Caenorhabditis elegans: one gene and its partner. The protein of the gene in region 1 interacts with the protein of each later gene in a pairwise test. Each region holds a gene or a part of one and is shown on either strand. Other genes may lie near its edges.

Region 1 (11,106 bases):
ATCAGATTACTACTGGAAGAAAAAATTGGTGCTGTGGTTGTGGTAACACTATTGTTTTTCTCAGTATTTCTGTCTTTTATTCCAATTTATTTTCAGTGCTCGGATGCAGTATGGCGAAAAAAAGAACATCAAGCACAAACTTCAGCAATGGTTCATAGAAAACCCCAGTATCAGTGAGTTTCAATTTTCAAATAAAAATAATAAAATAATAAGGGCAAAATCTTGTTCAGGTGCTCGAATAAGATCCTGCAATGTGTTGATCAAACTATTAACATGTATATTATATTGTATTCGTGTCGTCAATGACGAAAGATCATATCCTGATGACTTTCCATTTTCGGAAGAAGAAGCTGGAAAACAAGATGTCACACTTTAGTGAGTCGATTTTTTTCTGAAATTTTGAAAAGAAAATTTTGAAAATTTTTTAAATTAAATGTTTGAAAAATTACATTCAACATTCGGTGTTAAGGACCCCAATTTTCCACTAATTGAATGATTTAGAAAAGTATCATTCCAAGTTTAGAAAAAAAGTAATTATAGTTTTCAAACATTTCAATATAGATTCTTCTTCACACATGTACGTTTATGATACCTTTTTTTTAAACTGAATTTATTCAGCATACCTGTATATCAAAAAAGTTAAATTTCAGTTTATGCAGTTATTACAAAATAATTAAAATGAATACTAATTAGTAGAAAATTGAGAATAACTTTGTTCAGAATTTATATCTCGCCAGAAAATTGAAAACAACATTTTCAGTAAATACTTACTATGGGTAGACTTCGATTTCAAAATTTGGTTTCTACAAACAATGTTTGCTTGCATTAGTATGGTTTACACTATTTTGGTGTTTTATCTCAGTTATTCGGTAAGTCGTTTCAAAACACTACTTTACAAAAAGCACATTTTAATTTCAGGGAAGTGTAGTTAGACTGCTCATCAATATTCATTTCTTACTGGAACTCATCACAAGTTTCCCATTCATAATATCGGTTTGTTATTTTATTTTATCAACGAACAATTAATCATTAATTTTTTTCTGATTTTTATTCCCAGCTTAACCTACTTATACGTTCCGGTGTTTCTCAACTGCTGGCTTGCCAAAGGTGCTCTTCAAGCTATGATGGTGAGGCATTGCCTACTGGGAAGTGTCAAAGTTCATTATTTTTTCAGAACGATCTCAATAGAAAATCTTTTATAAGCTCCTCTGCTCTATTTCGTCAACTTTTACTCTTGTTCTCAGTTCTGGCTTGCCTCATTTTTACCGGAATGTGTAGCATTGAACATTTGCAACGTGCTCGTGGAAAAAGAATTGATCTCTTCACATCTTTCTACTTTGTAATGGTCACATTCTCTACAGTTGGCTATGGTGACTGGTATCCAGACTATTGGGCTTCACAATTATGCGTTGTCATTTTGATTTGCGTTGCATTGGGATTGATTCCAAAACAACTAGACGAACTGGGACAAACATGGTCTGAACGTCAGAAATCTGGAACTGACTTTAGTAGTTGGAATGGAGTGGAATCTCATGTTGTTGTGACAATCACTACTTTGGAAGTTGAATTCATTCGTGATTTCTTGGAAGAATTCTACGCCCACCCCGAAAACCAGGTATTTCAGTAACACACCAGTTCTAAAATAATTTTTGTTCTTCAGAGAATTCAAATTGTTTTGTTGTCGCCAGCTGAATTAGACAACCAGACACGAATGCTTTTGAAAATTCCTCTTTGGAATAACCGGGTTCATTACGTTCGTGGAAGCTCTTTAAGAGATGAAGACTTGGAGAGGTTTCAATTTTTGTTTTCGTTCTTCCGTCGGTAATTGAATTTTCAGAGCCAACGTAGCAACATCAAAAGCTTGCTTCATTTTGTCTGCAAGACATGTCAACAGAAAAGTGGCCACAGATGAACACACAATTCTTCGGTCATGGGCTATTAAAGATTTTGCTCCAAATGTCAAGCAATACGTGCAAATATTCAGAGCAGAAACCAAGATGCATATTGAGCACGCAGGTATGACTCCACGAAGAAAACTTATTCAAAATAGAGAAAAATAGGTTCAAAATTAGCAGTATTTCTTTAAACTTTAAACGATTCTTACTACTTTCTCGATGATTACATACATTCTTTCAGAAGTCTTAATTTGTGAGGATGAATTTAAATACGCTCTACTTGCAAACAATTGCATCTGCCCGGGAATTTCTACTTTCATCACACTTTTAATGCACACCTCTCGTGGAGAGTACGTTTATTTAATTTCGTATAAAATCTTTAATGATGTCATCATTCTAGGGAAGGCCAGAAATCTACCGAACCGTGGCACAAAGTCTATGGATTTCATTCTGGAAACGAAATGTACCAGATTAAAGTTCAAGACAGCAAATTTTTCTGTGAGTATGTCGGAAAGTCATTTAGCAGCACAAGTTTCCACGCGCATAAAGAGTTAGTTGATCACTTATTTGCAACTTCAGCATTTTCTTTTTCAGATACGGAATCGGTTTGATTGCCGTTTCTCCGGATGGGGACACTTCACGTATGAAGTTAAACCCAGGATCTTCTCACATCATTCAGCCAACTGATACAGTTTATTATATGGGATTGACCAATGAAGAGTCACTGACAGACTTTAGAAAAGGCATCCGAAGCCAGCAAAAACGTGCAAATGTTGCATCAACTATTGCAAATATTGGAACGGTAGCTGTAGATGTACCAAGATCTGACAAAACCGAGTTAGTTGGCAGAAAAAAGAAGAAGAGGAAGGAAAAGGCTGCAGATGAGATCCACTTAATTGAAGTTGGAGAACATGTTCAATCTAGTCGTCGCCCGTCAATTGCAATGGTTACTGAGGGGAAAATTGACAGCTCGTCCGATTCTGATCAAGAAGAGATTTGCGACAAATGCCGTGGACCTTGCATACAACATAAACTTCAGCGTACTTACCCACAAGTGAGAACATACATTGGAACATCTAATACTGTGTGCCACATGATGAAAGAGCGTCGGTCGCTTTGCTGTCTAAAGCTTGATGAAAAATGTGCTCATAAATCTGCTACTTCTGCGCATGAGTACCAATGGAGAAATCGGCCAATTATTCTTGCGGCGGATAGAACCAGCAGTGGCATGTACAATTTAGTTATTCCTCTTCGAGCATACTACAGACCAGTGCATGATTTACATCCGATCATCATTCTTTTGGAGTTGGAAGAGCAAGATTCGTTGAATGATGCATTTTTGGATGCAATCTCATATTTCCCAGATGTTTATTGGATGAAGGGAAAAGTTGGAAAGTAAGTGAATGTTTTTATAAATTTAATTCAACAATACATGAAATAAATTATCTATTATTGTTGGGTATCAACGTGTATTGACCCACGACGTGGCTAAGAAGATCGTACAACGTGAACTCTGTGAACTAACTTATTTATTCCTTAGTTTAATGTAATAATAAACTACTCGTCTTTGAATTTCGGATGTCTGGCGGGAGTTGCAGTGATGACCAATTATCATGTTCATTAATATGTTCGTCAATAAGTATACATCATCTTACAGTTTGGATTGCCTTCTCCGAGCTGGTGTAAGCAGTGCGGAGCATGTGGTTGTTGTCAAGGAGACAGCTGTAATGGCAGAGGAGCATACTGCAGATTGTAACACAATTATCACAGTTCAAAAGATTCATCGAATGTTCCCAAGACTTCGAATGATCACTGAATTGACGCATGCGACAAACATGCGATTCGTGCAGTTCAATCCACATAATGCTTATTCATTGGCTCAATCCAGATTTGAAAAAAAGGAACGAAAACGTGGCTCTCATATGCCGTTCATGTTCCGACTACCATTTGCACAAGGAGGTGTTTTTAGTGCTAACATGCTGGATAGATTACTTTATCAGGTTAATTTTTTAATTTCCGCATATTCAAACGTAATATATTCAGGCTATTATCAAACCGTTTGTGGTTGATCTAGTCAGACTTCTTCTTGGAATTGATCAACATAGTGATGGCGGATATTTAACTTCGGTACAATCAAACTAATTGCAGTGAACCTTCATGTGATAAATATTTCAGTTTGTTATCACATCGGATGACTTATGGATTCGGAATTATGGACGATTGTATCAAAAACTATGCTCCTCTGTGGCTGATATTCCTATCGGTATTTTCAGAACCAAAAAGATGGACACTAAGACGGTAAACACAAATCTGCTCAGTATCGACTAATTGTTTTTTTTTTTAATATTTTCAGGTATCCCTTGATCTTCAAGAACAATGCAAAGATTTTGAAAACACTGAAATGGGAAGAAACAAAGATATGTATGATCATGTGAAAAATCGAATGAGACTTCTTAATATAAAAGACACTCATACTTGTAAGTTTTATTCGGAATTAGTTTTCTATTTTTAAACCCTTTCTAGTCAATTGGAAATATGCTAGCCGGTGCAGATCAACAGGTATAAGCCGAAGAGTGGTGTGAACCAGCAGACAAAATAAAATTAGAAAACTTACTTTAATACTTACTATTTACTTTTATTTCATTTCATAATAAGGTTGAAGATTCTTTAAGTTTAATTCTAATTGCTTCAGTGTGATCATTTTTCTTGGTGCGGTTAGACGTGGTGAACTGTATTTTAAATTTCAGTGCTCGAAGGAAGCGATGAAAAGTCGCAAATCTCATATGTCATCATCAATCCTGCTCAAGATTTGGAACTAGAGTCCGGAGATATTGTGTACGATTTTAAATTCTATTTCAGATGAATTTTTGATCAAGAACTCATAAATGAACTTTCAGCTACGTAATCAGAAGTCCAATCCGGAAAGATGCAACCAACGCAAGAATTAACCCAAGAAGGGGTCTAAGACGCAGTAAAAATGTTAGTGAAACCATCGATTCAACAAATCAAGTCCCAACAATTGTCATTGATGAGAATAATTTGTAAACTTGCGTTTTTTGTACAATGCCCAACACAACGAAAAGTTGAATTTGCTGGAATATTTGCTCGTGTTTTAAAAATGAATATTTTTGTAATTTTATTTGTCGTAACATGATTCAAAATTAAATTTGTAGCGCTATACAAACAAACGGATTAAATGCTGAACGTTTGCCGGGCATCCTGTCACTGGACATCTGAAATTTTTCTCAAATAATTGATAGTTTAAAATAAAGAAAACTCACTTGTTATAAGTGTTTACGTATTGGTTGATACATGTGTAGCAGAATACATATCCAGATACAAAAAGCGCAGTATCATTAACTCTTTTCTTCAAACAAATTGGGCATTTATTGGTGTCCAAACTCAAAATTTCCGATTCAGATATGATCATTTTGTGTGGAGGTGAAGGAATAGCTCCGTCAAGGCCAGTCTTTGTAAGTTTTGCCAAATCTGTGTTGTACATATAATCCAAAAACTGTACAAAGAAGAGCCCATAAGCAAAGAGCCTTGAAACGATTCCAGGTAGTCCCAAAATAAATCTCCAGATGCGATTGAAGAATCTTAAATGAATATGTTCGTTTAATGTTCCTCTAGAAATTTGATACCCAGTTTGGAGATGAAGAGGAACAGCATTGAAAGCTTCCAAGTCTTCTGGCGTAAGATGTTTCAGAATCACGCCTGAGAAGTAAAGCCATGGCGAGTGAATGGAGCTGCGGTTCAAAATGTATGCAAGTTGTAGAGCACTTTTCACTGCCTTAAGAGCTGTCTTGATGTATGGCCAAATGATCACAAACATTTTTTGACACTTTGCTTTCATGCCCTGGAATTATAAACGATATTTCAAATTTATTTGTCTATACATACATTAATTGATGACCAGCTTCTGCATTCGTAAACTTCCTTGAGCCTGTCATAAAGCTGATTCAATTTATTCTCTACATAAGGCCATCCGACTAATGTAATAAGCGACATTATTCTTTCCCTACCATCGTTCGGTGGATTTCCTGTGCCTGATGCTATTCGCTTCATAGAATAAAAGTTTTCCGTGAACGACGCTCCTGAAACACATTATCTTTAGGTGAAAAATTGGAATTAAAAAACGTACCATAGTTTCTCAAATAGTGGTTTTGCAAAATGAGATCGAATATGATGTAGTATTCATCAAAGTTTCGGTGAACCGAAAGAAATGTTTTTGGCTTGAAGAATGCTAGATACTGAAATGTTCAATTTCAAATATTCGTTTCACTTTTATTCTTAACATACTTTTACAAGATGCTGTAAAGCCGGTCTGATTGATGTTGCAAGATTTTCTTGAGCGATTATATCAAAAACCGATGGCTGCTTTTCTTCAGTTTTTGGAGAAATTGACGAAGCCAGCTGCGAGGCACGAATAGTCGTACTCATTATTTCCTAAATTTTTCAGTTAAAAATAAGAGGAAATTGTTGAGATTATACTCATTAAAATTTACAAATAAAACCAAAAAAAAGGAGAGATATGAAAATGATTGAACACGACCATCGATTGCCGGAGGAGCGAGGACACTGTCCGTATCATACTACGACGTAGTGTGTCCTTGTCTTATCACGATTAGATAGTAATTGAAATGTGGAGGGTTAGAATTGCAACAATGTAACCTTTGCTTTTCTTAACTGTAGATCTATTGATGCAAAATACAATGAAAATAACGACTCTTTAATAAATGCATGAATAATAAATAAATGGGATTTTCAATTATTTGTAGTGAGTTTTACGGTGCGTGCTAGTTCTTTATGATTTTTTTAAAGAGACACCAAAACGTGGACAACTATATACATTATTTTAAATATAAAAACAATAAATCACGAATTGTTTGCACGCAACATTTGTTCTTATCTTAACTCTTATCAACTTCAATCCGCTTTTGGAAGAACTGAACCAACGTGGAGGGTGGTTTAATGTTTTTATTCAAATACGAACCGCAATTGGGGAATCATCACATAAATGATAATTCTATCAGTAAAAGTTACGGAAACTGAAAAAAAGTCAAACAACTGAAGATCGAATTTGAGGAAAAAACGGAAATGCAAAAATGGCACTGAATAGAAAAACTGTGTGCGTAGAATTGAGCGGTTCACTTGAGTAGATTTTAAGAAAAAGAACATGGGACTGGGAGAAATGAATAATGGGAAAATGATACTCGTAGATTCTAGGTGCGATCAAATGAAATGAAAGAAAATTTCAACTGAATTGTCGACATAAATACATGCATTTTTTAATTAAGTAGGCGCAATTGTGATAATACATTTTCTGAGGCTCTTCATCGATAATTACGTTGATAATCATCTGTGTAGGTGTAGTTTGCGTATCCACTGAAAAAAATAGTTTTTTGAAACATTTGAATTTATATTTAGAACATTTTTCATATCCAGATTTCAATAGCAGGGCTGTTACTTTTTCATTATTTAATATTTTTTGGGTTCTGGCAAACATTAAACATTTTTGTCGCATTTGTAATAATGCAAAATTTTTCTAAAACAGTATTTGTTGGTAATTTGCTACATCAACTTTTTGATCTTTATTGTTGGTTTTTGTGTTTCAAACTGAACTCGTTTTATTTCTGATACCGAGTATTTGAAAGATCATTTCAAAATGTGTAGTTTCAAAAAATATTCCAATTGATATTAATATGCTAACTTACGGCTTAGGCCTAGTGTCATATGTATCGGTAATGAACGATGACATGTGATGTGTTTCAGATGGTGGTTCCACAATGCTGAAATATATAAAATTATATTCAAAATTGCAAAGTTAAGGGTTATTTTTCGAAAAAATGGCTAAGCTAAAGTTATTGTGACACTTTTCTTTAAATAAAATTGTGAAACTTACTATTTTGGGAACGCGTGCATCTTAGAGTATAAACCTATTAATGAGTTTGAAATTATCACAATTGGTATCAACAGAACTAGGCAGATCAGCATACACATCCATGTCCCGTTCTGAAATTATAAATTGAAAACAGTTCCCCAATTTTTGTGTCATTTTTACATATGGATCAATTGTGTAAGCACAAACAGCAGCAGTTGTTTGCCGGGCAATTTGTGTCAACGGTTGACATGACGTGACCTCGCTCTCCATCTGAAAAGTCAAGCAATTATAGAATTTTTTGAAACACTTTTGCGTTATTACCTGGCTTTTGACATGAACTATGTACTGGTCGATGTTGTTAACCATTTGTTGGAATTCTTCTTTAGCTGCACGACCGAAATGCTCTCTCATGTTTTCAGCCAGTAAAGCCTGAGCATGCTGAAGCTTTACAAGAAGAGAAGAAACAGGAACTTGAAGCTGAGAAAGTCTGGAATAAGTATTTTATAGGAATTCAACATTTAAAGAATTTTCACTTTTCATCGAGTGAAGTAATGTTAGAGTACAATGCCTCTAATCTGCTCCTTAATGGTTTCGCAAATTGAATCTCTAACTCTCTGATTTGTTCAAGAACAAGAGTCACTGCCTTAGGACGACCCGAATTTGCGTCTAGAGATTCCTCGAATTCCCGCGTTTTGGATGCTAAGTCGAGTTCATCCATTGCATGCTTTATCTGAAACTCAAAGTTAAAAATTGCTCAATTATGTTTCCAATCTACAAACCGCATTCAGGCCTTGTTGGCTAACTTTTGAAACATTCACTGAGGCGAGTTTCTCCAAATCTCGAAGTTCGCTTCTTGAAATGAATGCATCAAGCGGACGAATTTCCGGCATATTTTCCATAGTTGTTCGCAAGGAAATTTGCAGTTGGTTGTATGCATCTTTTTCAAAATCCTGCAAAATTTATATTTAACATATCTATGTATAAGTTTTGTTAGTACCTGTAGTTTGTTCAAATGATACTTTTTGTCAAATCCATAAAAGTTGTACAGCGTCTCGTTTCTTGAACACGCTCTAATAATTTCTGCCGGCGATTTCGACTGAAGAGTAACCTCGATATCATTTTCAGGTGTGTGATTTGCTTTCCAAAGATTGATATATCTATCAGCAAGCTGCAAAAATCTTTATACTTGGGAGAACAAAGATGAACCAACCGATAACGATTCCGGATGGCTCAAGGGATTTCTCATGGGCTGGCACACCAAGTTTGAGAAGTTTCCAACAGCAAACATCAATGCAGAAGTTCCCACTGCCAGGAAGACAAAGATAAGAAGAAAAGCCCCAATTCCACTGAAATTTAAACCTATGATTAATTTAATTGTAATATAAAACTTACAAAGAATAAAACTTTCCGCCAGTGCTTCTTACACAACAATCATCGTTGTAATAAGTTGGACGTCGACCACATATTCCATAAAGAACTCCAAATAGGAAAATGAGAGCCAGGAGAATAAACAAACTTGTGATAACAAGAGACGCATACCAGCTGTAAATTTGGCAATATTATTCTAATAATACCAAATAATTGGTTTCACAAAAACAAAACAAAAAAGGAAGTTTTCAAACTGAGATCATAAATATCAAATTTGTAGACCTTTCTGATAAGACCTACCTGTATTGCATGTATTTGAGAGTTGGTGTTTTTTTAGGGTCCGATACATAAGAAACAGTGCTATACAAAGCTTCAAATGTTACTTTGCGCAATTGAGTCGAAATTGTTTCAGCTACCAGAAACAGATCATCTCCGATTTGTTTCAACATATTTTGAGCGGCTTAAAAATATATATGAATGTATAACATTTCTAGTGTTATTGTCTTACAATATGTTTCTTTGTCAATTTCGTGTTGTATTCTGCTCTCTAATTGCTCAAATTGATTGTTGGATGCAGCGAGTACTTGAGTAATATTCGCATTGACAATTTCGGAAAGCCCGGTCTCAGTTGCATCGGGCAGGAATTTCTGAAAATAAGTGTTGTTTTTTTTAATTATAGAAAACGCCCCGTCTTTAGTACAACTCACTTGGTCAATTTTGAATTGAGTGACAGCGAGACTCTCAAGGAGTCGTTCTGCTTTTGCACACATGCTTCTAACCGGCTCGAGCTCATTTTCAAGACACTTGACTAGCTCTTCATTAGCCGTATTTCGTAATCGTGAGAACTCAGCCTAAAAATATTACAATTAAACTGAGAATAAGAGTTTTAATAAGTACTTCAAACCGTGAACCTTCTTCGTTTAGAAATCTGACCTTTCCATGAACTGACTCCAACCCATCGTGCATTTCTTGCGCCACTAAAAAATACCGATGTGTTTTTTTTTACATTTCGTAATTATAAATATGACCTTACCTTTGCTAATGTTCATGAAAACGTCAATGACATGTGCGCCAGTCAGTTTTTTGACGCGGTCCACTACATTATATCCGGCAGTGGATAGTTGTTTGGTAATGGTTGAATTGAGGACCTGGTAATCATCGATGAGCAACTTTCGTATTCTCTGTAATTATAAAATTCAAGTAACCATTTAAAAACAACAAAAATTACCATATCACTGTCTCTTTTGTATGACTGCAAATCGTCGACACATTGATTCATCCGATTTGGAAGCTTATCCAAACCAATTTGAGCATATTGGCTTGTCATTAACAGGGTAAAAGCAACAAACCTAGAAAGTAATCAAAATTAATACATACGCGTCAAAGAAATAGTGTTTAACTTTTCTTATGCTCTTCAAAATTAATAAAAATGGTTAGAAACTTACGCATTCGCACTGACCAGTACAAATAACAACAGATTGCACATGCTTCGTTTGCATCCGTCATATCTTGCATCAGTATTCTGTTTTTTAGAGGATCGAGAGCAAATACACACGCAGCACCTAGAATTGAAAAAAAATATTGATTTTCTTGTAAAAGTTCACTAGTTGTTTCTTACTTGTAGAAGAAATAAAAAACCACAAAGAGCACACTTATCGCAACAAGTCCGACGCTCAGTACAATCCATCCTTTTTGAAATTCGATCCACTGAAAAAAATAAACTGGTTTAATCTCCGCATTGAAGTATTTTCATTTTTATTTTATCTTTTTTGAAGATTCCACTTTTGGACTGTTGAAAAAGTGCTCTTAGGTAGTCAACAATATAGTTTCTTTGCTTTTCGCTTTTTCGTGCTCGCCGGCTACCCTAAACCTAAATCAATTCACCCGAAGATCGCACATTGTGTAAAATGCAAACATTTTTCTTTTCCGATTTCTTTACCCATTTTGGTCTTTGATTGT
Region 2 (10,878 bases), on another chromosome or scaffold:
TGTCTATCATTCGTTCAAGCAGAGTAAGTTGACTTTGTTTTTCTTTTTTTCAAATATTAGTTTCGCATATTTCAGATCAAGAAGATCCGCAGTGGTGTTACGATAACTTCATCAACTACAGAACTATGAAAACTGCCGACACAGTCCGCACACAATTGTCGCGTGTTATGGACAAGTACAATCTTCGACGTGTCTCAACAGACTTCAAATCTCGAGACTATTATCTCAACATCAGGAAAGCTCTTGTAGCTGGATTTTTCATGCAAGTCGCTCATCTGGAACGAAGTGGACACTACGTGACGGTGAAAGATAATCAGCTCGTCAACCTTCATCCATCCACAGTTCTCGATCATAAGCCGGAGTGGGCACTCTACAATGAGTTCGTGTTAACCACAAAGAACTTCATCAGAACTGTAACTGATGTGCGCCCTGAATGGTGAGTTAATTTGCAAATTATATTATTCAAAACCTAACTAGATATGCGTTTCAGGCTACTTCAAATCGCCCCTCAATACTATGATCTCGACAACTTCCCAGATGGAGACACGAAACGGAAGCTGACTACTGTGATGCAGACCCTGCAGAGAAACGCTGGCAGAGGCTATTGATGCCTCCGAATCATCTGATCTCATTTCCCCAAACCTCTTTTATCCCTATTGCCCCTTGTCAAATTTTTTGATTGTTTCTATTTATTTTTTGTTTATTTCTTACCCCTTTCTTTTAATTCTATTTTCACTTTTAAATCAATCACCAAATCTAAAAGGATGAACTATTCATTTTATTTGACAATTAATCCGTAAATTTAGAGAAAACCGTAAAGTTATGTTAATTAAAGAAAAGCTCGTCAAAATGTCCTTCTTGCTCTAACCAATCCTCCGCATCAATATCTTCGTCGGATTCAGGATACTCGACGGTCTCATCACTGTCATAGTCACTACCGTCGTTAAATGCCATATCGAAAAGAAGATCGTCATCGTTATCTAGCAAATCGTGATGAACTCCTTCGAACAGACGTCCAGAGCATGATCCCTGAAAATGAAAAATACATTTCTTACACAATTCTAAGAAAAAACCAACATCTCCCTGAAAATGCTTATAAGGATCTTCCTTGTCAAGAGTTTCAGAGCACAACCAACAGAAGTAGGTGTCACACTTCGTACAGTGCATCTTGTGGCATCCTTCATTCTTCTCTATGCTCACCGAGCACTTGGGACACGGTTTGCTGTTCGAATCCAGCCATTCCTCATTGAGGAACCGCTCCACAAGCTCCTCGACACGCTTCTCTCCTCCAAATTGCCTGCACATTTCAGCCTTCTCAGCTTCATCTCCATCCTTCCATCTTTTGACAAGAAGCTCTTTGTCTCCTTTCTTCCATTTGCAGCGTTCTATTCCGTGGAATGTCTGCTTACACAGATTGCAGAACGAAAAGTTACAGTAGGAGCATTCGGCCAGGAAGCGTTGTCTGAAATGTTCTTCTTTTTTACATTTATTTTTATATTTTAAACTATACCTATCCGTGACGTAGGCGACTTTTTGACAATTCTCTCTGGGACACTCCACGGTGTCTTCCATCTCTCGAATCGCCTTCTCCAGCATAATCGTCTCGTATCTGGCGGAAATTCAAATTTGGATTTTTTTTTTTGGAAATGTATCTCACTTTGCATATAAATCATCTCCGAGTGCCTCCTTAACCGTATTTTGTTGTGCTTCACTCTTGCATCCTTCTGCTAGACACTGCATGGCTTTTGACTGTAAATGATCCAATTTTTCCAAAAAAAAAATCGATTGGATCTTACCACAACACCTTTCGATATTGTACGATAATAATCGAAAGTACATTGTTTGCAGAAAACGTGAGAGCACGGCTGGAATTTGATGCAATGTTGGCCCATTTGAGAGTCGTAGCATACCTGGAAGATTGAAAAAATAGTATAATTTTATAACTACGAAAAAATTACTTCACAATCGAAAAGTGTATTGACAAAGTGCTCTTCAGCAGCTTCTTCGCCTTTTCCAAGAATTTTCTTTTTCAGCGATTCAATAGTTTCTCCATTGTTTTTCAGCGCACACGCCTCGTTCAGATTGATGATTTTTAGGTGAGATTGGTCTATCTGAAACTTATTTTTATATATTTAATTTGTTAAAAAGAACAAAAAACTAACCGAATCAATTATCGTTTGATAGCACATAAAAAGCACCTCCATCATCTGGTTTTCCTCGCAAATCCTTGCCAACTCGGTTTCACAAGATGTCATTTGTTCCTGATTCATCCAATAACTTTCCAGTTCAAGTTTTGGTGATGATACTGAGGGATAATCATTTGGAAGATGAAATTTCAATCGGATTGGTGGAAGAATGTCTAGGGGGATGGAAAAATGATCGCTGGAGTCAGACGTTCCTTCAATTGTGACTTTTGGATCGGATAATGTGTCAAATCCTACCTGAAATCAAGAAAAAATTTAATAATAAACTTCTTTATACGCTCAATATTCTACTTCAATTATTCCCCGAATTTCTGCATTTTTATCCGCCCAATCACTGATTCTCGTCAATTTATTCTCCCTTAGCACACTCTCCAGTGCTTCTAGCTCGAATAACTGAGTTTCACGGCTGTCGTCTGACATCTGAAATTTAGTAGAAATTATTTTAACACAAACTAGAACAAGAAAAACTGGTATCGCGTTCAAAATGTTTAGAAATCTAGACTTTTTTAAAAGGGCAAAAAAACCGCTGAAAAAACATGCACCAAACGCGCTCCATCTGACAGAAACAAAGCGTGGATGTTCAAATTCCACTTTTTATTGGAAAGATACGAGTTTTCTAATATATTAGCGCAGAAAATCCCATATATTTATTATTTAAATAACACTGATAAACAATTGATATGCTGAGATTGATAACAACGATTTTGAATGGATTAAGGTTATATTTACAGAAGGCGAACTGAGCAGGTGAGCAAACGCCGAGCTGAAATCACTTGTATATACAGTCAGATAGCTCGTCGTTTCTGGGGATGGAGCACAAGGGAAAGACGTTGGGCAGTTGAGAAAATTAGACGTAAAATACACAAAAAGAAGAATTGCTCATAGAGCACAGATTATTTAAATTTCCACAGTTTTTCCATCTTCGGAAACTCGGATTTGACGAGCTTCAACCACTGCTTGAGTTGGTGCATTACGAGTCATTACTTCAACTTGAGAAGCCATTGATGGGTTTGCCCGATTAAGAGCCTCGGTTTGTCCTGGAGCTGGGAATGGAGCTTGAATTGGGGCAGGTGTTGATCTGAAAGATTTGAGATTTTTCGAAGAGAGCAATAGAGGAGAAACACAAAAATCGACTAAGCATCAATCAATTTTGATATGATTGAATTCTCCGAGAGTGTTACACGGATTGGAATCTTTTTAGGAATACCATGTAACGCCTGCTTCCTGCCTCCCATGCAACCTGCGCCTGCCTACATGCGCGTCTTGCCTACCATGAAAAACTCAATGCTCACCCCGAATCGTTCATAGCATTGAGCTCATTCTTAACGTTCTCTGGAGCCTTAAGCATAAGTTTGTCAAGTTTCTCCTGCTTCTTCTCTACACTCATTTTCTTGTTTTCCATAATTTTCTTGGCCTCTTTCTCAAGCTTCTTCGCCTGTTTGCTAAGCTCTGGAACTGGAGAGGAGACGGTCATCTTGTTGTTTTTCATGATCAGTCTTTTGTGAATATCAGCGAATTTGGACTGAAAAATGTTTGTGTTTGTTGAGAAAAAATTATTTATCTTCTTACCCTTATCTCATCACTCTCATTTGCTAGAACTCTTCGAATATGCATTTGCTTCTGCTCCATATTCATTCTCTGCTCTCCAATAATTTTCTTGATCCGATCCATGGTTTCGCGTTGGTTTTGACGCCAAAATCCCGGTTTGGCCCGTTCCATAGCTCGCTCGCGGTCAGTTTTCTCCATGGGCTCACCGAAGTTGGCTTCTCCAATTCTGAAGGAAAATCAAGATTATTTGTTGCTAAGGTACCGTCTAAAGTGAGTTTTGAATAGATTATCGTTGTAATCTGGCGCTACGGTCAGTTTTTTACTAAGTGGCCGCGAGGAGATAAAACTTGGCCACCTATTCCGGAACTTACCTTGCTCTCATATAACCAAATGGCCCAAAGTCAAATGGATGCTCCCGATGAAAATATCCTTGTGGTGGATTCATGTTGAAAGATGGTCGCCGACGTGGCTCTTGTGTTGGGATTGTTGGAAAACCCTGGAAAATGAATGTTCAGAATTTTCAATAAGGCTTGGTAGGCAGACTCGTTTTCATGAAAGCTTGCCTATTATTTTTTGGTTTTTTTTCTTGCTGGACTCTGGTGTTTGGTGTTGTTTTCATGAAATCTTCAGTCCTTGGTACCTACGTGCCTGTCTACACGCCTACTTTCAATGTGCACAATCTTGATACAAGCGTAGGTGAATGAAGGCAAGCAAGCAGGCGTTTGTGTTCTGATCTAGTTTCAATTAGAAAAATCTACACAACATACCGAAATGGTTGTGACCTTGTAATAATTAACCTTGGGATTTTCGCTACGTGGCCGCGGAAAGCAAAAAACTCGGCCACCGATTTTTTGGCTGACTTGTTGCAAAACAACTCAAAAACTATATTTTAGATGTGAAATCTCTGCCGAAACTGCCACTTAAAAATCCTACAAGCCAAGAAAACTCACATAATAAGCATTAACATAGTCTGGCATGGCAGCTCCCTCATTAGCATCTCCGTATAAAGTTCTCTTGTAGTAAAAGCCGTTGACAACCGCCGAAAATAGAGAAATCAAAAGAATACGTTTCATTTCCAACAACCGACTAGTACAAAAAAAGGAGTCAACTGTGCACGGTCGAGTGGAGTGGACAATGGTCAGCGAGGGGGATCGGGAGGCTCCGAGAGCACACTGTTTGGGAGTAAATAGAGACCTTTGACGGGAGGCGAGGAGGGGCGGTACCACACGATCTAGGCGCGCTCTCGGTGAACCGATAAACCTATACCGTTTCCGGCTTTTTACGTTTAAAACTTTTGGGTTAGAGCTCTCTCCGCGAGGCGATGAGCACACCATGAACAGTGCAGATATCTGACAAGGTGTGCGGGAGAAGTAAATATAGACATTGGGGATGAGGTAATGACGTGCAATCACGAGTATCACCTCTTTTTGAAGGGCATTGCGGTTCATTGCAACGTGGCCGAGAACAAGAAATCGGTGGCCGAGTTTTTTAAATCCTTAGTAGACTGGAGCTTAGTCAAGCATACCTCCCTGCCTACAAATGTTGACTACGTAGATTTATTCTTGTTCTGCCATTTCATTAAGAGATAATGGGAGGACACCCCGACTCAACGAGTTTGGAATAGCTTTATTTGGTACAATAATCACTTTTTTCGTAAAAAGACATGGTTTTGGAAAGAGAATGAAAAATTGGTGTGATCGGGAAAGTAGGGAAAATGGGAAAAATTATCACATAGGTCAGGTAAGTTTGCTGCAAAAAAGGGGCATTGGGATTTAAATAAATGTGTATAGAAAATTGGCACCTTTTTGGAGAAAAATCTGAAAAATTCCATAGAGTGTCGGCAAGAAAGTTTTGAGAAAGTGGAAAAGGTCTTCAACAGAAAACGTTGGCCAATACCAAAAATATAAAAATTTGTGTAATATTAGTTTTCGATGTCAATTGGTAGATCGTCATCATCCTCGTCCGATTCCATGGCACCATTTTGCACTGCCAACTTAGCCTTTGCTGTCTCCCTCTGAATTCCGGAATTCTCGGATACTTCCATGTATCCCACGGCGTTCGGGTTAACTGTCCAAGCATAAGCTCGAGCTTTAGCCTCGTAATTTTCACTGGAACAAGATAATTTTAAAAGTTAAGTGTTCTCTTTTCTCTGTTCAACGACGCTTAGCTCCAAATCGAAGTGGCCTAGAAGAATAGGTGGCCGAGTTTGTTCACATTTGCAGCTGTGCGCCGTTAAAATATATCTAACCGCTGATTCTCATATTCCATCCAGGCTTCAATATTTGCAGCTTGAGTAAGATCGGGCGTTGCAAGTAGATTGCTGATTTCCCTCAGAAGTTTCTTGAGTGAAGTTTCAGAAGACCAGTGCTCTTGTTCCAGCATTTTAAGATAAATTGATCCTGTAAAGATTTTTGTAATAATGCGTTTCTTTTTGCTACCGTTTTCTGTATTTCACACTCAAACATATTTTTTCGAAACAGTTCTAACCAACCTCTGAGGTCCACGTTCGGATGATGAAGCGGCGTTTTGAATTCACAAATTGGCGGAATTATAGGCCATTTGTGAAAGTTCACGGAAACCTGGAGATAATATACTTTTGCGAACTAAAAAGTAATTAAACCTCATATTCCCCTCCCTCCCAGGGGCTTCCTCTCGGTCCAGGTACTGTACATATCCAAGAACACCATATGTCTGCGCCCTCAAAACTAATTGGCTTTGCCGTATACCCTTGCGGTGTTCTCTGAAAAAAAGTTATTTCGACACATGCCACGCCCACTTTTGAAGTAGGCATAAATCAGGCCTAGGTCCCAGGTAGGCAGGCGAGTTAAACTTTGTGTGAAAGCTTACCTCATCCCACTTGGCTTTCTCCTCCTTCACAGTGTTGATTTCATTGGTGAATTCGCGTGAATTGGTTTCAACGTCGAATAATAGCGCATCGGCAGTTTCGCGAAAATATGAGAGATCAACATATTGTCTGTTGCTACGTCTTCGCATGTTTCTGAAAGCTTAAGCTCTAATCTGGAAAGTCAAAGTAATCCAATTCGTGACGAAGCTTCCGGAGCCGCGTTAACTGAACCTAAGCTGGATCTTATTTGAAAAAGCTACAGTGAATATATTCTTAAAGCGCACAAAACGTTGCATATTATCCCACGAGGCCTAAGGCAACCAGAAGCTTCAAACAAAAAGTGAAGAAGAGAGTATGAATACGTGGGATAATATCACAAGTTGAAGAAGAGGCAGGTACGAGAGAAAAAGAGCTACATAATCACACAGAAGCGGATGCCGTCTCTCTATCATTAGTACGTTGTCCTAGAGATGGCCTCTTTCTCTCTCGCGCCCTCTGTTTTAGAATTGAGCATGTAACAAAAACTACACGTGCTCTCAGATTATGTATGTGTGTGTGTGTGTGTGAGCTACTTGATTCCGACGGGTTGGAGGATTAAAGGTATATCTGATGTTGGGCACACTTTTAAACGTGGAATGACGCAACTCCTCTGCCACACACTGCACACGCTTTTTCATTCAGCTAAAATTTATCATGACGAGACCGGATACCGTACGCGGCAGAACCCATGTGGTGTCTTCAAAATGCCCAAAATGATCATGATCATCAATACGACACCAAACATCAACCTCCGCATTGATTGACAATTTTCACATTCTAATTGAATTAGCATTTCGAACTATAAAAATGCTCAGTTCGCCATGTAGCCAAACCAAAATATGCGTCTTCCAATTTTTCTTCTAGCTCTTTCAAGTGCTTCTATTGTCTTTTCATTGGATCCAGTCCCCGAAGAATATGCCAACGTACCGAAGGAGTTCTTCGAAAAGTTCCAGGCAGCTATCAAATCAGGGGACCCAGTTGCAGTAGTGGATCTTTTTGCTCCGGATGATATGCTTCGTAAGTACGATATCAGAAACAATTTTGAAATTTAGTTATTTTCAGCTGTCAGTGGCATGATTGAAGCGGCACAGGGAATCATCAAATCTTTTGAATCTTATCCGACCGGAATAATTGAACGAGTTCGCTACGAGTATGGAGTCATTCAGATTAATGTCAGATATTACCCCAACACGCCCCTTTTGTCCAAAAAAACGACTATTTTCAAGATAAAATACGAGGTAATCAGGGAGTTGGACTAAAATTTTATCCAGCCGCAATCACCAGAATAGATTTGTAGATAAATTTTAATTTGCAGAACAAATGGAAAGGCTGGACAATGGTGCACTTCAGTGATTGGATGTAGTTTCATATTCGAATATCGGGACTTGTATGACCTAAATAAATGTTTTAAATATATTTAAAAATGTTTCGAAAACTTTTCAGAAATCAAATTGGCTGTTACATTTTACCTATCCACCAAAAATTGACAGAATGATACACGGCCTATTGAAGAAATGGTAACAAATCCGTACAAAGTTTTCAGATATTCACAAAACGCAGTAAACGAGAAGAGTCGACTTTCTGGAAGTTTTCCCTTTTCACATGATTTTAATATTCTTTCATTTTTGAACATTGTGTTTTTCTATTCTGTTGGAATAGCTTTAGTTTTTTATGAATCGATAGATTTTATCAATTCCTGAAGAATAAGGTACATGGATAGATACATTTTTCAAAAATTTTAGTGAAAGGTTTGGCAAATTGAAAAATTGAACTTTTGGGGGCAATTTCAAGCATTGCTGCAAATTTGAACTCTTCGATTGTTTAAATACAAACAATTGAAACGCAATTAAAGTACACATCACGTAGAGAAAAACACAATTTAAGTTGAACAATTTCTCACTGATAATACTCTAAATTTAAAGTTTCAAATTGTATTTCTCATCGTTTCCACAACAGGTTATCTATCACATTGCGCAATTTTACTCATTACAATTTTGCAATATTTCGCAATATTTTAGTAATTAATTTTGATTTTTGTTCCGCAAACTTTCCTCATATATTGTTTGAACATTTTTGACTAATAATGTAAAATATTTTCTATAAATTCCTGAACATTCATTTCTAAATTACCTAAACTCCGTCTATTGAATCTCTGCGTCTCTTGTCTAAAAATCGATAAAAAATGACTGATCGTGACCTGCAAATATATGAATTGGAAGCATTGGAAAGTGTTCTAAGAGAGAAGAAACTGGCGAAATCCAGTGATTGGAGTGATAAGAATGCTGAAATCCAGGGAATTATTGAGGTAAAGATTTTGGTTTTTTGAGAGAAGCTGGGGTATTTTAACTTTTAAAAAAGTAATTTAATGTCCACTAAATAACAACAAAAAATTATTTATCTGAAACTACCCTTACTATATTTTAGCTACACTTTCTACGTAATTATGTAAGTTATCAAAAATATTTAAGGTAACAAAGTATAGAAAATTTCAATAGCCTCCATAATCATTAGCCCGAAATTTTGGCCACGGTTGACTATTTTCCTGTACGAGATAAACTAATATGGCCATATATGGAGTAAAGTATTTTTTAGAAGAGTCACTAAGTTACGGTTGAAAGTTGGTTAGTTGGTTTTTTTAAATGAGTTTTAGAATAGTCAAGTGCAATTTCAGGTCGGATTTGACAACTTATACGATCCAACAGTCACAATTGAAGGAACATCTGACTCCGGCGATCAATTTCATCTTCCTCTTGACATTCTTCCTCCAATTCGACTAAAATTCCATCTTCCAAATGATTATCCCACCGTATCATCACCAAAACTTGAACTGGAAAGTTATTGGATGAATCAGGAACAAATGACATCTTGTGAAACCGAGTTGGCAAAGATTTGCGAGGAAAACCAGATGATGGAGGTGCTTTTTATGTGCTACCAGACAATAATTGATTTGGTGAGTAGCGAGAATCAAATAAAAAGCACCATTATGAGCCGACATCTCAGACACGTAAGGTGTCCTCTGCTAAATTTAACTGCAGCCGACATTTTGCTGGTTCGTTATTGAATGACATAGATGGGCTACCCGCGATATGTCGTCTGCAAAGCGTTCTGAGATGTAACGGTCTACACAGATAGTAGAAATTACATATTCATTAGAAGTAGGATGTTGATTAGAAGACCGACATCTCACGGGTATGCCTTTGAGCGAATTTAAATCTAGATATCTCATGCAGAATTTAACTTTTTTAATTCTGCGGAATGTCGACTGCTACGTTCTTTGATTCAAGCAGCTGGCGTCTTTTTCAACTATCAAATTTCAGATGGCCCAGAACACTCCGAAAATTATAAATTTGAACGAGGCATGTGCACTGAACAGACAAGGAGAGACTATCGAATCTCTGAAAATGAAAATACTACAGAAAGAAGAGGAAGCTGTTGAAGAACAGTTTGTTAATACCCTCTACGATTGCCAAGTAACGTTTGTATTTTTTTTCTAATTTTTCATCAAAATTTCCAGGTATGCTTCGAATCCCAAATGGGACAGCACTGCATAAAGTTCCAGCCATGTTCTCATGTTTTCTGCAAATCCTGCACTTTCAACTATTATATTTCTATTGCCAAGGGGTTTGTGGTTAGTTTGAATTTTCTTAGCTGATATATTTTTATTGGATTTTTCAGTCGAAACCAATGTCATGTCTAGCAGAAGGATGTGAAAATGAAGCCCAACAGGGTATGGTGCAAGAGGCTCTAGGAGAGGAGCTGTTTGCAAAGTAAGATTCCTAGGAGATTGACAAGTATTTGATTAATTTTTAAAGGTATGAAGCTCATATGCTAGAAAAAGCAATTCGAGAAATGGATGATTCAATGGAATGTCCAAATGAAAATTGCCAAATGGTGGCTTATCTAACTGACAGGTAAAATTTAGAAAAATGTGTTGTGTTGCTATTAGACTATCAGAACTCGTGAATTTTTCTTGAACTTTGTGTCTGGAGCTCTGTGATTGTCGGTTTGAAATTTGAGTGTTGAAATTTGTTGAGCCCGCTGGATTTCTCGTATAAAATCTTTGGGTGCCCATAATTCTGCTCACAATGACTCTCAAAGACTTGATTTTTTTGAGCGTATGATAAGTTCACAAAAACATTTTTTCAGCCAACGCAACCTTGTTGAATGCTCCTATTGCAATTATTCTTTCTGCAATTTGTGCAAAGGAACGTTCCATGGAGTCTCAAGGTGTAAATTTAGAAA

The links.
Region 2: the proteins of prx-12 (region 1) and uev-2 interact in a two-hybrid assay, tested with the Caenorhabditis elegans proteins (one study listed by BioGRID).

What each region holds. Positions count from the first base shown.
Region 1 is NC_003284.9:11,388,533-11,399,638, reverse strand, and holds prx-12 (Peroxisome assembly protein 12), read right to left. Parts: upstream 6,347-11,106; 5' UTR 6,339-6,346; coding exon 6,198-6,338; intron 6,149-6,197; coding exon 6,040-6,148; intron 5,993-6,039; coding exon 5,799-5,992; intron 5,755-5,798; coding exon 5,540-5,754; intron 5,495-5,539; coding exon 5,177-5,494; intron 5,129-5,176; coding exon 5,071-5,128; 3' UTR 5,020-5,070; downstream 1-5,019. Other genes in the region: slo-2 (RCK N-terminal domain-containing protein), read left to right, coding at 97-173, 231-375, 761-869, 919-993, 1,044-1,127, 1,175-1,615, 1,661-1,791, 1,838-2,016 and 9 more; prmn-1 (PRoMiNin (5-transmembrane domain glycoprotein) homolog), read right to left, coding at 7,232-7,283, 7,613-7,687, 7,801-7,910, 7,960-8,049, 8,101-8,266, 8,313-8,509, 8,559-8,729, 8,777-8,947 and 10 more. UniProt on the Caenorhabditis elegans protein: Component of a retrotranslocation channel required for peroxisome organization by mediating export of the PEX5/prx-5 receptor from peroxisomes to the cytosol, thereby promoting PEX5/prx-5 recycling.
Region 2 is NC_003281.10:5,579,009-5,589,886, reverse strand, and holds uev-2 (UBC core domain-containing protein), read right to left. Parts: upstream 6,763-10,878; 5' UTR 6,747-6,762; coding exon 6,600-6,746; intron 6,493-6,599; coding exon 6,373-6,492; intron 6,332-6,372; coding exon 6,244-6,331; intron 6,152-6,243; coding exon 6,001-6,151; intron 5,861-6,000; coding exon 5,674-5,860; 3' UTR 5,365-5,673; downstream 1-5,364. Other genes in the region: Pre-mRNA-splicing factor ATP-dependent RNA helicase ddx-15, read left to right, coding at 1-23, 76-436, 491-608; F56D2.2 (RBR-type E3 ubiquitin transferase), read right to left, coding at 826-1,029, 1,078-1,462, 1,511-1,609, 1,658-1,749, 1,797-1,910, 1,959-2,111, 2,163-2,441, 2,496-2,624; F56D2.3 (DUF148 domain-containing protein), read right to left, coding at 3,102-3,282, 3,497-3,726, 3,774-3,978, 4,124-4,248, 4,703-4,825; F56D2.8 (DUF4440 domain-containing protein), read left to right, coding at 7,476-7,653, 7,699-7,874, 7,952-7,999; F56D2.5 (RBR-type E3 ubiquitin transferase), read left to right, coding at 8,819-8,941, 9,308-9,586, 9,954-10,106, 10,151-10,264, 10,312-10,403, 10,449-10,547, 10,783-10,878.